2 linked regions of the Tamandua tetradactyla genome follow. The protein of the gene in region 2 purifies or fractionates together with the protein of the main gene of each other region. This does not show direct contact. Links are inferred from orthologs where the notes say so. Each region holds a gene or a part of one and is shown on either strand. Other genes may lie near its edges.

What was found.
Region 1: the proteins of PTPN3 (region 2) and SHKBP1 purify together in Homo sapiens (affinity purification with mass spectrometry; 4 studies listed by BioGRID and IntAct, with this or other methods). This does not show direct contact. The link is inferred for Tamandua tetradactyla from reciprocal best matches to the Homo sapiens genes PTPN3 and SHKBP1.

Annotation. Positions count from the first base shown.
Region 1 is NC_135342.1:23,558,885-23,566,966, reverse strand, and holds the start of SHKBP1 (SH3KBP1-binding protein 1), read left to right. Parts: upstream 1-5,035; 5' UTR 5,036-5,310; coding exon 5,311-5,471; intron 5,472-5,738; coding exon 5,739-5,792; intron 5,793-5,909; coding exon 5,910-5,955; intron 5,956-6,062; coding exon 6,063-6,136; intron 6,137-6,467; coding exon 6,468-6,526; intron 6,527-6,744; coding exon 6,745-6,825; intron 6,826-7,743; coding exon 7,744-7,905; intron 7,906-7,979; coding exon 7,980-8,070; intron 8,071-8,082. Other genes in the region: SPTBN4 (spectrin beta chain, non-erythrocytic 4), read left to right, coding at 240-309, 942-1,234, 2,350-2,523, 2,678-2,720, 3,956-4,114.
Region 2 is NC_135328.1:28,458,175-28,465,386, forward strand, and holds the start of PTPN3 (tyrosine-protein phosphatase non-receptor type 3), read right to left. Parts: upstream 3,046-7,212; 5' UTR 2,788-3,045; coding exon 2,574-2,787; intron 41-2,573; exon of another isoform or gene 10-40; intron 1-9.

The sequences.
Region 1 (8,082 bases), on a different chromosome or scaffold from region 2:
TGCATTTTGTTCTCTGTGCTGCTTAAAACTCAAAGCGGAGATGTGCAGTCCTCCATTCAGCAGACATGTCCCAGGCCTCTGCAGTGTGTAAGGCTGGCATCTGTGAGACCGCTGCAGAAGTGGACACGGGCTGCACATTCCAGGCTAATACGTGCAGGAGGCTCCTTGGTTAGCCAGGTTGGACACCCAGAAGACACCCAATTCCATCGTGTCTTTCTCCCTGCCCACTCCCTCTCCAGGAAGGCCACGCTGGCTGACATTGTGGAACAGCTGCAGGAGAAAGAGGCGGGTCCAGGGCTCCCTGTTGGGGTAAGTTGGGTCTTGGGATAGGTGAGGGCACAGGGGCCTTCTCAGGGCAGGGGTCAGTGCCCCACATGGACCCTGCTGAGACACCACAGACTCCAAAGGATAGTGAAGGCCCTTAGAAGCCCCCCACAATCTGACTTCTCCCTTAGAAAGATGCCCTCCTTCCCTGCCTGACCTGAGATGCAGAGACACTCTCCCAGACCTGAACAAACAGGCTCACCAGACTTTTCTTACAACTATGCTGGACTCCGTATTTCTCCACAGCCCAGTGGGGTCCCAAACTTCCTAACAGACAAATGGGCCGGGTAGCGGTGTGGGGAGTCCTGACATTCCCTCCTCCCACCTACACACACAGAAGGAAACCCCAGATTCCTGCTAAACACAGCTCCCATAGATCAGCCTCCTCCAGACAGGCGCTCCTCCCGGTGCACCTTATCTTCCCGATAAAGGGGGATTCCAACTCTATGAATCCTGACAGACTCACTCCCGAGACGAGTGGGGCCCCGAGGATTTGGCCTTCTAGCCCTGAGGTCCCCCCAGGCTCCCCTCCAAGACAGACGAACCGCAGATAGAGGGGATCCGCGGGCTCATGAACCTCCCTTGGACAGCACGCCTTTCCCCCTCCTTTCACACAGCCGTCGCTGCCTCAGCCTCGCGAGCTTCCCCCCGGCCGCCTGCCCAACGGGCTTGAGCCGCCCGAGCGGACACCTCGGCCGGACAGGCCGCGGGCGCGGGACCGGCCCAAACCGCGACGGCGGCCACGGCCGCGAGAGGGTGGTGAGGGCGGGGGAAGCCGGCGCTCGCGCTCGGCCCCGGCCCAGGGAGGCTCCGCCCCTGCGCCACCGCCCCCACCCACTCACACCGTGCAGCACGAGGGCTTCCTGCTGCGCAAGCGCGAACTCGACGCCAATCGCAAATCGTCCAACCGGTGAGCGGGCTGGGCGGGGCTTTGTAAGGCGGGACCAAGGGCAGGCCGAGTAGGTCGGCCTGAGGAGGGGCGGGGTCCAGCTTCCGGCCGTCCAACCGGTGGGGAGGTGGGCGGGGCTGAGGAGGGACGGGGCTCAACTTCAAGGAATTCGCTAAGGCGGAGTAGTGGGCCTAAATTTAGCGCACCCAATGGGAGAGTTGCACCTGAGCAAAAGGTTCCGGTCGTGGATAAATTGTGGCCCAATCTCAAAAACAACCAGCCCTGGAGTTGGCTAGGCTAAGTGACAAAATGGGGGTGAGGCCTAGCCAGCAGGTTCCAATGGCATGTGAGGTGGAGCCTGGAGAGGTTATCCCACCAGCGAGTGGGGTGGCTCCAGCCCTGAAGTTTCTAATTAGGGGAAGATCTGAAAAAAGGCGGGGCGTCCAATAGGTGAGCTGGATGAGAGGCAAATGGAGGGCTCCACCTCGGGCCCACGGTATAACAGTATAACAGTGTACCTTTGGAGTCCAGCTCCTTGTCCTCTAACCCCCTTTTGTCCAACTGGGAGACAGCTGGACAAGAGAAGTGGGTCCAAAAAAGGGAAGCCCTGGCCACCTAGTGGAGTGGGATTTAGAGGCAAGATGCCAAGTGGGCAAGACTGCTTGAGATTTTGCTGGCGGGAACTGGGGGTAGTCTTTCCTCCTTGTCCCTGAGCCAAGGAGGGGATAAATAGGGCCACCTCAGTGTAATTTGCTCTTGGGGGATTTCCTCTTGGGTTGGGGATGGGGGTGGGTGGGGAGACAGAAATGCCTCTTTCTGTATAGCAGACTAATAGGTCTTCCTTCATGGAACTCTGGGGGTGGAGGAGGAGTATTATAATAAGGTTGTTTTGGGGCCAGGGAACTGGCCTGAGTAAACTTTTAGGAGGAGAAGGCTTAAATCTTGCCCTCAGGAAATTCAGTATGAGAGGGAGGGCCAGCCAGGGCCAGTCGCTCCTCTCAGCTCTAGGAACAGCCAAAAGGAAAAGCACCCCGACATAGGGCTCAGCTTTGGCATGTTCAGCCCAGGAAGGGTGTTAGTGAAGCACACTCAGGCAGTGCTGGAGCTCTGCCTTGAGCCCTGTCTCATTGCCCCAGGTCATGGGTGAGCCTGTACTGCGTGCTCAGCAAGGGGGAGCTGGGCTTCTACAAGGACTCCAAGGGCCCGGCATCGGGGGGCACACATGGCGGGGAGCCACTGCTCAGTCTGCACAAGGCCACCAGTGAGGTGGCCAGTGACTACAAGAAAAAGAAGCATGTCTTCAAGCTCCAGTGAGCCCCCCCCCCAATGGACAGGGGATGGGAGGGCATCCGAGGCCCAGCTTCCCCCTTCCAGTAGTATCCTGGGTCTCCTGTAGGATGGGTGGTGGGTGAGTAGTCCGTGCCCCTGCCCCAGGTCCCCCAATTCCTGTGTCCCCTACTGCAGGACCCAGGATGGCAGCGAGTTTTTGCTCCAGGCTAAAGACGAGGTGAGATCTGGACCTTTCCCTCCCCTATGTGGGCTTCAGGAATGACCTAGCTGGCTCCTGGGCCAAGTGATGGGACTGTGATAGGAGAAGCACAAGCCAGAGCTACAAGAGCTGCGATGGGGAAGCCCATGGGCTATGAAATGGGTTAGAGGAGGTTCCTGACCCAGCCTGGGGTGGGAGGGGGTTGGGGGTAGGAAAGAAGATGGGAGACGGGGAAGACTGCCTGGAGGCCCTCAGTCCAACGCCTTCCCTTGGCCCCAAGATGCAACTAGAAAGACAAGAGGAGTCAGCTAAAAAGGAGTTGCAGGGGTGAGCCAGGCAGAAAGACCTGCAAGTGCAAAGGACCAGAGGTATGGAATTACAAAAGTTTAACTGTGCTGGAGGACAGAGTTCAAGAAGGAAGGCTCCAGAAACATTCTTATAGGGTGGCCAGATCTCGCAAGATGTTGTTGCCATTTGGAGGTTGGACTTGTCCCGGAAGCACTGGAGAGCCACGGCAGGGCTTTGAGCCAAGGAGGGCTACAGTAATGCATAAGAAAAGGTCTCTCTGGCTGCTACTTGCAGGGAAGGTAGGAGGAGGCGAGGGTGGAGGTCAGGAGCCCAGGATGCAGCCAGCATAGGGTCCCAAGTGGAAGAGGAGACAGCTGGATGGGACAGGCCTGTGGGGAGGGGAGAGGGTAGCACAAGAAACAAGAATCTGAGTGGATCTCCGCAGGAGTTCAGAATTCCTGGGGGTGTGTGTGTGTGAAGGAACAGGCATAGATCTGGCTTGAAGAGATGATGTGAACAGAAACATTTATCACATTCAGTCCTCACAGGAGGCTATGAAGCAGGCCTTATTTTACTTATCTGTACAATGCAGATAAAAAATAATTCCTCATTATAGGGTCATTGTGAGAATTAAATGAATGGATACATGTAGACCACTTGGCACATGCCTAGTAAATCTAAGTGTTGTCTGCCACTGTATCACCTTGGGTTTTCTGTTATCTCCATATGGGAATTATTATAATAATACCTGTTGCAGGTATTTAGGATTAAGCAATTTAATCCACCAAGTACTTAGAAAAGAGCTTTGCATATATATGGTGACTGCTCTGTAATTGCATTATTATCATCATCCCATTTAACAGATGAGAAAACAGGTTCAGAGAGAGCAGTCTGATTCCAGACTTATCTACTACTGGAGCTCCTCTCCTCCCAATATCGACCCAGTTATCCATTTCTCCCCCTAGGAGGAGATGAATGGCTGGCTGGACGCAGTGGCCACATCGGTGGCCGAACATGCCGAGATTGCGCGCTGGGGCCAGACACTACCCACCACGTCCTCCACAGACGAGGGCAACCCCAGGCGAGAGGCTGGGGAACGCAGGGCCAGCGGGCGCCGAAAGTGACTCCCCAGCCCCGGGGCCTGATGTGTCTCCCTCCCTCTCCTCTCTGCATCGTGGGCACAAAGACTCTTTCTCTTGCGCCTGGGTCTGGAACCCCTAGTTCCAACACTGCGGATGTGGATGCGGCATGACGGGCGCTGGCAAGGAGGGGACTTATCCTGCCCCTATAGCCATATCTCGGCCCCTTCCCGCTCGCCACCCCCACCCCAGGTGCTGGGGCTCTATTATTTTTATGCAATAACTGAGCTTGGGGGGGGGGCGGGGAGGGGGGCCAGTTGAGCCAAGCCCCCTGCCCCGACCCCCAGATCTTGCCTCAAGGAGCTGGAGTTGGGGGGCAGTCATTCCTGCCCCCCCCTCTGCCCTAGGGGTGGGAACGGGGGGGGGCGCTGGTGAGGTCCCCTGGACCGTCCAGGGTGCTAGGGGGTGGGGAGGGGGCACCCCCTCCCCACCTTTACCTCACTTCCAAAGCTGCCTTGATCTTTGTCTGGGAGGGGGGAGTGAAGGGGGCCCTAGCTCCTGCACTCTGCTGCCTCAGAGCCATGCGGTTAATTCCTTATTTTTTTTTGCAAAACGTCGACCTCCTCCTCTCCCACCCCGTATCCTGAAGGCTTTAAATGGGAGGGGTGTCAAAGCTCAAAACTGTCTTCCTCTCTCCTCCCCCCTCCAGCTCTAAATGCCCCATCATGAGGGGAGGGGCGAGGGGGGGCTCTCCCCCTGCATGCTTCTGGCTGGAGCACCTCCTGGGGGGCGGGGGGGGGGACCAGGGTCGTGAGTAAACCGCATGGCCCCCAGGAGAAGTCACTGGGGCGCGGGGGTGTGGGGCGGTGTGGCTGGCGCACACTGTACCTATAATAAACCCTTTGGCTTTGACGGTCTCTGCTGGTTTGTCCGCGTTTCCTGGGCAACAGGGGAGGAATGGGGCGAGGGCTGTGGGAGGGACCGTGATGCTATGTCTCCCGTGATAAGGATTAATTTCAGGGTCTCCGACGGATCACCTAAATGCTATACCTAAAACGGGGACCCTGGGAGGGGAAGAGAGAATGTTTTGTTATTCTTCAGCAACTGAACTTCCCTCAGGAAGCCGCCCTGCCCGCCCCGTCCAGGCCAGGAAAGGCGGGCCCCTTTAAGGAGGCTGAGCTATTAGCTGCGATTAAGTTACGTCCTGCCCAATCACCGCGCCTCCGGGAGCCACCGGCCCAATGTACACGCGGAGGGGGCGGAGTCCGGACGCACACCCGGAAGCGGGCGTAGGCCGGCCGGCTCGTCCGGGGGCCATGGCAGCAGCAAGTACTGCTGCTGAGGGGGCCCCGCGTCGGGCATCTCTCGGAGAGGTGATTCATTTGAACGTGGGAGGCAAGAGGTGAGTGTGTGTGTGTGTGGGGGGTCGTCCTGAAGCCCCACCTCGAGGGCGGGGGGGCGGGGTGGGAGTGCCCGCCTCTCCAGGGGGGAATCCCTGTCCATCAATGATTGCTCCGCCCCACTGCTGGAGGCGCGAGAGGCTGGAAAAGCTTCCGGGAAGCGGCGGGAAGCTTCCCCTATCCTAGGGGAGGGGGCCCTGCATCTCTGCTCCTCCCACTGTCATCTCACGCGGCCGCTCACTCTCCCACCTCCCCACTCCCGTTCCCAGATTCAGTACCTCCCGCCAGACCCTCACCTGGATCCCAGACTCCTTCTTCTCCAGGTGATGGGGAGAGCGAGTTTGGGAGGAGTTGGGGGGAAGCGAAGGAAGGGGGTGGGGAGACCTAACACCCCTCCCCGCTCCAGCCCATGACACCTGCTCTGCGTCCCCTCCCTGCAGTCTTCTGAGCGGGCGCATCTCCACTCTAAAAGATGAGACTGGAGCGGTGAGTCGAATAAGGGATGGAATGGGACAGTCGGTAAGGAAGCGGGGCAGGACCCCCGACTCAGCCCTGCTCGTTGCCTCGCCCATCAGCTGCCTCCTCTCCCGCAGATCTTTATCGACAGGGACCCCACCGTCTTTGCCCCCATCCTCAACTTCCTGCGCACCAAAGAGTTGGACCCGAGGTTAGCATGGAGGGGAAGGGGAAGGGGTACCCTACTGTCTCCATTTCCTAAAAAGTCTTTTCTCTTCCTCAGAATTTTCACTTAAGTTTGACCCTAGTAGAATTCTCGTTTAGAACCTCAGTGATCTTGACATTGTATTTCCCACAACACCAACCCCACATTTTTGGTGCTCATATCTTCTCGGCTTAGAATCTCTATCCTGTCAGAATTCTCTGCTCCTAGGGATTCTCTGCGCAGTTTTGAAAACTTCCTTCTCAGCATTCTCTGCTTGCCCCCACTCCCACCCTCCTCATCCCCCAGACTTTGACACTTAGTCAATTCTACTACCCAGGGGTGTCCACGGTTCCAGCCTCCTCCATGAAGCCCAGTTCTATGGGCTCACTCCTCTGGGTAAGTAAGGCCCCAACTAGCATCCTCATCCACACCGAAAGGCAGCCAGCGATTCTCTCTAAATCCTCCCGGGCCCTCTTCCCACTCCCTTGTCATAGAGGGTTGGGTTAGAGCTGATCGCACTGGATTAGGCCCCGAGTCTGAGTGGAATGATGGAGGAAGAGTTGGGAATGGGGAAAGGGGTGTGCCTCAGTACCCCTCAAGTTGTTCCCTCTCAGTTCGCCGCCTGCAGCTGCGGGAGGAGCTGGATCGATCTTCCTGTGGAAACGTCCTCTTCAACGGTTACCTGCCCCCACCAGGTGGGCATGCCTAAGGATGGGGGTGTGTGGATTAAAGACTACATTTCCCATAAGGTCTCAGCCCTTGAATGGCTGTGCTGTGAGCCCTGTGACCTGATGGGAATTGTAGTTTTGATAGGGTTGGCTGCTTGGAGAGGAAATAGGAAATTGCATTTTCCATGAGGCAGGGGGCCAGCTAGTCCTTCCTGAGGCTCAGAAGCAGGCCCAGGGGCCCGATGGGAGTTATAGTCCAGGTGTGATTTCTTGGTGGGCTGGCTTAGGAGGAACTGGGGTCCTTCGTATGGAGGAGAGAAAAAGTAAAGGGTCATTATTGACTATAAACCCCACGAGATCCTGGAGCAGCCAGCCCACTGATCGTGGAAAATATGGCCCAGGGGTTATTGGGAACTGTAGTCCACTGGGCTCTGTTGCTTTGTAGAAGGAACAGAGTGGGGCAATTGCAACTTACAGCTTTCTTTTATCAACCTCAGTCATGACCTACTACCTTCATGAAATTTGCCAAATATAAAGACCTAGAGTATTATTTCTTAATTTAGTTTTACTTGCTTTTTTTTAAAGGTGTTTTAAATGGAAACTTTGTATCACTACCTATCTACCATAAATATAAAGTAAATATGAAAATAAAAACTACACATGACAGTGTTAATAAACTCTGCCTTAGCCTGGGGGTTGCTGTCCATTGACTAAAAGGGAAGATTAGCAGATATTGAAGAGGCATTAATATCACAGCAACACTACACAGAGTCTTCCTATGTGAGCAGTGCTGAGTACCACATCCATCCTGTCTAAAGCCTTTTCTCCAGGGACTGGGCTGCACACCTGGGGAAATCAGCATCTGACATATTCTGAGTGCTTGCTATGTGGTAGCATTAATGACAATGGCTGTCACTCTGCCTCTTCTCCCCCTGCCCCCGTTAGTGTTCCCGGTGAAGCGGCGAAACCGGCACAGCCTGGTGGGGCCCCAGCAGGCGGGAGGACGCCCAGCCCCTGTTCGACGGAGCAACACGATGCCCCCCAACCTGGGCAACGCAGGGCTGCTAGGCCGCATGTTAGAGGAGAAAGCCCCCCCTGCCCCCTCAGGTATGTTTCTGTCTGTGGCCACCGGCGGGTCCCTGTGGCCCTATACCCTGATCCCTACACTCCCCCCACCCCAGGGCTGCCGGAGGAGCCCGGCATGGTGCGCCTGGTGTGTGGACACCACAACTGGATCGCTGTGGCCTACACCCAGTTTCTTGTCTGCTACAGGTGCTCAGGGAC
Region 2 (7,212 bases):
CTTACTCACAATTTCTAATTGCTCTGCTGCTCGCTTCTGACCTCTTCCCATGGGATCTCACCCCAAGGCTGGGCACTCGCCTGCTCTTCATTCTCCAGAGCCTCGCTGATTCTGGGCTTAGCACTCCGTAAACCTTATAAAGCTGAGAGACCAACCCAAAGAAATTAAAATGACAATTTCTTTGTAATTAGAAACATGATCAGTGACCTGTCATCAGAGTCCCTAAATCCCACTGGCCATGCCCTTTCACAATATCTCCTGGGGCTCTCTCCTCTTTTATCTTCTTGCCTTTGAGTCGTAGGACTCCCAGCGACCTTCTCTCTGGCATCACCAGAGGACATTTTTTTTTTTTTTTTTTGGAGGTGCATGGTCCAGGAATCGAACCCGCATGAAAGGCGAGCATTTGTATCACTAAACCACCCGGGCACCCTAGAGGAAATTTTTGATGATTTAAATTCAGTCTCTGAGAAGCCCCTAGCCCGAGATGCAGGATTTCCATCTTTTCTAAATATTCTTTTTTTTTTTTTTAATTGTACTGGGGTGAAATTTACATGACATGAAATTAACCATTTTAAAGTGAACAATTCAGTGACATTTCGTACACTCACAATGCTGTGCAACCATCAGCTCTATCTAGTTACAAAACATTTCCATCGCTCCAAAATTAACCCCCTTGTCCATTAAGCAGTTTCTCTCCACTCCCCTCTCCTCCCACCTCCTGGCAACCATCAGGCTGCATTCTGTCGCTAAGGCAATTACCTGTTCTGAAAAGGTAGTTACTTTTTCTGGATATTTCATATAAATGGAGTAAGGCAATAGGTGATATTTTGTGTCTGGCTTCTTTCCCTTAGCATAACGTTTTCTAGAGTCATCCATGCTGTAGCATGCATCTGCGCTTCATTCTTTTGTACAACTGAACAATAGCCACTGTATATGGATATAACACATTTGTTGATCCATCCTTCTCTTGATGGACATGTGGGCTATTTCCGTCTTTTGGCTATCATGAATAGTGCTTCTATGAACATGTGTGTACATGAATTTGTTTGAGTGCCGGTTTTTAGTTCTTTGGGATAAATACCTAGGAGTGGAATTGCTGGATCATATATATGATAGTCTATGTTTAACTTTTAGAGGTACATCCAAACGCCTTTACCTGACAATATTTACCATTTCAGTCCCAACATTTTCATTTGGACCACCGCTCACCCCCAAGGAGAAGAGTGAGTGGGTGTCTGACCAACAGCTACACAACAAACAGGCCTCACCTCCCAGAATAAAGGGATTAGGTAGGTGAGGCAGAGTCTCTTCTCCTGGAGAGAAATTATTTATGGTTAAACAAAGCACAACATAAAAAAACAAGAGTGAAAAAAAAACCAAACCTAAAACATTTTTCCCCAATTCAAGTCATTGTGTATCAGCGTTATAAAGTTCATTCTTAGTTGCTCAGCTACACATCTCTCGCTTCTACACAAACATCACACACTCTCACATAGAAAGACACACATGATTTACTGTATCCTCTACACACACTCCAAACTACACACTTATGCATACACAGTCCCAAGCAGATGCCACCATCTCCCATCTAGGGACATCATCACCATGCCCCATTCCCTGCAAAGATAAACCACACACAAACACAAACAAACAGCGCACAAGCACACAGACTCTCCATACGCTCCTCACACCTCACACACAAATACATGCCCTGCAGCACTCACACACTACATACTGCACCTTTCCACCATGTACCACACAGTCTGTACACTACCCAGTACACTGACACACACACTGACAAGTGTGACAGCACACACCAGTCACAAAGCACACACGGCACTACCCAGACCTTCTGACATGGTGCACATCCATACCTTCAGCACACCACAAAATAATGCCCCCGTCGTGACTCCTTTTTCTAGCTAGCTAAACCCCAAGTTCTCTCACTTCAATTACTCTCTCGCCATTATTTTCAGCTTGTGTGATTCCTCTGTAGGGGACTTAGCAAAAGCCCGACATGGGTTCATTCCCATTCTTGGCCGTCTTTGTGCCTGAATCTGGCTGCTGAATCCTGTACCCAACCTTGCTGATTGAGACCACCAGAAATTTATGGTTTCTGACATAAACTCTTGCTGCCTGCCATTATAGTTTTCCCTTTCCCATTTTTTCTTATGCAGAATGAAAGTTCCTCTCAGCACAACTGTTTCATGGTGGCCTTTGTAACTAGACACAACATGGTTCTATTCCTGGACAAAGCTCATCGGTTTGGAAGACTTAACCTCCCTTTCTTTGTAAATAGAACTCAGTGTGGTTGCAAAAATTAAGTATTAAAAAATCTATCTATCTATGTATATAAAATGCCAAACCAAAGCCCAGCATCCAGTAGGTAAAAAAAAGAAAAAGTTAATTGAAGTAATAAAACAAATTAAATTAGGGCAGGTAGAAACTATGTCTGTCTAGTGAAATAATTTTTGACTAGTGCAGGCTCAGATATATTCCCTCCTTTGGCTCTAGTCTCAGGGGACAGCTGCCTGCCTCAGCTCATTCAAGTCCTCCACGTTAGAACTACTGACCGTCAGCTGAAGGGCTCGGTATCCAGATCCATCGGGAAGCTAGAGTTGTTCTAACTGCAGAACCCCAGTCCTGTAGGGCTTCTTGCCTTGTTTCTCCATATCTTCTTGGTCCCCATGTTCTCAGTGTCCAGGTCCCTTGCTTTGTTTCCTCTGTCATAGCAACTCTCAGCAATCCACTTCCTGTCCTATTACTCACCTGTGTAAGTGTTTCCATGGCTCCTGTTGCCTTCAGGATGAAGTCCCAGCTTTCCTGGACTAGCACAGGCAGCTCTCTTGCCAGCTTCTCTAGCTTCCTCTCCTATTACCTATAGACGTCCCACCCAACTCCTGTTCCTGGTTTATACCACGACAATTTATACCTGCTTGTATATCCTATTCTTGTTTCCCTGCTGTTGTTCACACTGTCCTTGCTGCCTGAAATACCTTCATCCCTGACTGTATCTGGCTCACCTGGTGAACTCCTAATCACCCCTTCCAGAAATGTCCCCAACATGGTGTAGCCAGATCAGTGGCCTTCCTCTGTGCTCTGAAAACAAAAACTCTTTCCTGATGTGTTTCCTGACGTTGCTCCTCTTTCCAGGCTGTATTAGAATTATTGCTTGCATGTCTGGCTTCCTCATTGGATTACAAGTTGCTTAACTTATTCAACTTTGTATTCCTGGAGCTTAAAAGGTACTCAATGTATGTTTGTTGAATGAACAAACACAAGTGTTTGCAGAAGAAGGTCCTTGTTATTAGCTGTTAAACTCTTTTCATACCACCTAACTCAGTGGCTAAGATCTCTTCTTATAGTTTCCTCTTGGACCTCTACTGATCACTTCTTTCTCCTGAATAGATGGGAACCTGGAGCTTGGACTTAGTTTGAACTTTGGCTTGTGGAATTCACTTCCTGCCTCTCCCTTCTATTTTGGACTGGACTTCTGGTTTGGACTCAAATGTCTAACCTCTCCCTAGAAATCAGTGATCCTCTGTCACCTGGGTCTGTTTGAACTCCCAGGTCCAGCCCTCTCCATCCAGTTCTCAGCCCACCTTGTCTTGTCAAAAAAACCTTGTCACCTCCAAATGCTCTACCCTGGTTATAATTCATGGACATTAAGCAACTATTGTAAATTTTATCTGGCTATAATAACACTAGGACAAAAACCAGTCTTTGTACAGGACAAAACAACAGATCTGTGTATTTGTATGTCTCTGTGAAGTTTACAAGGTGCTTTAGTGTAATTTATTTCATTCTATCTTCATAATAACCTTTTGTGTTGGGTTATTATCCCCATTTTACAGATGAGGGAACTGAGGCTCAAAGTGGTTAAGTGACTCTCTAAAGGCCTCAGAACCAAACTTCATGGCCAGGGTGGGAGAGCGTGGACTTTTGTTCTTCTGACTCTGAGTCTTTGAACTCTTTGGTGTTCATCAAGATATTTAAACATTAGATATATCTGATGAAAAACAGAGATCCGATTGTGATGCTTAAGAACGTGTCCTCTCCAAATCCAACCTCTACTATTGTTAGCATGATTTTTCTAAAACTTAAATTGAGGTTAGAGTCTTCTGATCACAATTCTTCAGAAGACCCTGCTCCCTCATCTAGTTACATGGAGTACTGTTGAATCCCTGACCTCACTCTTTCCCATTTTAGCAACACTTACCACTTACCGTGCGTTGAAGGCCAACAATCGTTCATGTCTTGGTGCCCTTTGCCCTCATCTTCCACCCCCACCCCATCTGCCTTTTGCATGGCCAGCACGTCTTTATTATCCAGCTCAAGTATCACCTCTACTCCAGAGCTATTTCTAACATATCCCCATCCCCACTGTCCTTCCTACTTCCTTTATTGAGTCATTGAGTAAGTCACATACTTTTGTCCCAGCACCTCTTACTCTGTGAATTATTGTCTTGACTGTTTATCTGCCTCCCTCTGAAGACCTCAGTATTCTTAGAGGTTAAAAATGGGACCCAATTCATGGTTACACACAGTACTTAGTACAAAACCCAGCAAAGAGTAAAAATTCAATAGATGTTTGTTGAGTGGAGGGATGGGTAGATGGATAGATGCAGTAGTGAACTTTTTTATTTTTTATTTTGCTCGGGCAGGCACCGGGAGATGAACCTGGGTCTCCTGCATGGCAGGTGAGAACTCTGCCACTGAGCCACCGTGACCCACCCAGTAGTAAACTTTTAATTGTCACTTTAAATCCATTTATTTGAGTGTATTTCCTCCTCTTCCTTTATTTTCTTAGTGACAAAATAATAAAATTTATCCAATAGACTATAGGAAATAGGGTTGACTTCCTTCCCCTTTCTAACAGTAAGCTTATTGAGCTTTAGAGGAGTAAAAACGTGACTTGTTCCAATGACCTGCCCATGTGCCAATCATCTTTTTCTTAGGTTATTTTAACAACATTTCGATTGTTAGAAAGAACTCCTATTGAGCCTGAGTCTGCCTCCTGGAAACTTCAGCTCTTGGATCCAGGTTTAGCTTTTTGGACCTATATGAATGACTAATTCTCCTCCTTTGCAAGGTAGATTTTAGCATATGGGAACATGGCATACATTTTTCAAGATTCTTCTGCAAGTGGCCGAAAACCCATTCCAAACCAGGTAAATAAAAAAAAGTACCTTTATTGCTTCCCGTAAGCCAATTACAGAGCTATTCCCATGACTAATTAACCCAAGCACTTCCTACTCTCAGCTGGCCTCTGCTTGTGTTTGCTTCATTGTTTAAGCTCTTCCACATAGATGGGGATTACAAGTAGCACCATCTCTGCAATCACATCTTTTAACTCACAATCTAAGGGGAAAAAGACAAAAGGGCTGCACTTGGTTTAGCTTGGGTCATGCATCTGTTCCTGCACCTGGATGCGAGAGTATTGCACTTGAGATCCCCACCAGAATTACAAGGAATGGGAAGGAGCAGGTCCTCCCTCAAGCAGGAGAATGTGTTTCCAGAATAAGGAGGCACAGGATTCTGGTTAGACCAAAAATAGGGCATCTGTCATAGGCTGAATTCCCCTTACCTTTATGCCTTATTATTATTATTTTTAAGTGGAATTAAGGAGGAACCCAGACTTCTACCATCCTAGTTTTCTGTGGCTATGCTCAAGTTTGTCAAGATCCCTCTCAAACATGACCTTTTCTCTCCAATGGAATGTGTTGTTCCTCAAATGGGCTGGCCTGCACGGAACCCAACAGAGCCATTCCTTTACTTATTGGGAACATAGTTATTGCAGTGCCTGGCACATAGTAAATGCTTAATAAATAGTGAATGAATGAATGAAGGGATAAATGTAATTCTCAAGCCAATTCTGTCTAAACTTTGCTCTTAAAGGCAATTAAGGCAGCCCTTATGAAACCAATATGATATCACAAAGGAGACACTTAAAACCAGTTGGACTGAGAATGTGAGAATGCAGTGGGAGGAGACAGCTGGTAAACTTCTCCAGGTGCACCTGAGTTAACTGCTTCACGGGAGAGCTCTGTTCTCTGAACTGCATAGAAATGAACTGTTACTTCCCAAAGGCAGAAACACTGAGGGATGAAAATACATGCAAAATAAAAGGAAAAATAGAAAATAACAACTCTCCTAAAAAAAAAGCCTGCTTCCTTTCCTTTTTGGCTACAAGTGACAGAAAACTCAAAATGATACCAACCTAAATATAACAGGTCATTTCTTTATTATTTAAACAGTTCAGAGGTCAGAAGTCAAGGCTGTTATGGCAGCGCCACAATCACTGGGGTCCCAGGCTTGCTTTTCTTTCTCCACCGTCTTGTTTGTCCAAGTTGATGACTCAGGTTCCAACCAAAACATCAGCATTTGTTTCCAACAGGAGGGAGGAAGGGATGAAAGAAGAAAGAGAGTGAAGGCATGCTCAAGCTGTTTTTTATGATTTCAGAAAACTGCCACCAACTTCCATTTACATTTCACAGCTGGAACTTAGTTCAAGCTATGAAGGAGACTGGACAATATATTCCAAGGGGTTTTGTGCTCTGCTAATAGCTGGGAATTCTATCATTATGCAAGAGACAGGAAATGGATATTGGGATAGGCAACCAGGATCTCTGCTGATGCTGCTGGGAAGAAAAAGGAACAGGAAAATTTGGACATGTCCTGTTGTGATCGGTGCTAAGATCCTGGGAGGGGATTTTGTGAGAGAAGTCTTCAGTCCTTCCATCATGCTACTTCCAGAGGTGTCCTCCACAAAGCTAACCCAATGAGATCCAGGGCATGATCTTGGTTTCCTGTAAGCTAAACTCCTGGCACAGTATGTAAGACAATCTGTACCTGTCCCAGTTCCACCTCCCTAGCTTTAGCAACTTGCCACTCTCCTACATTACAGCCACACCCAACTCCTTGTCATTTCTAAACACACTGAGGCTGTTTCAGTTACCCTCCCTCTGTATATGCAGCAAATGGTTCCTGGAATGTACTTTCCTCCCTGGCTTTTCTGGAAATCTCCCCAATATCAAACTCTTGACTTGAAGCTCATCATCATCTGCTCCATGGTTCATGGTCCCTTCCTTTGTGTTTGCTCAAGTCTTCCTCAGATTTCACATATTTTATGGCCCTTATCTGGTAGCGTATTTTCACCACTGACTAAGCTGTTTAAAACACCAATTCTAGCCCTTTTAGCCCCTTTCCCTG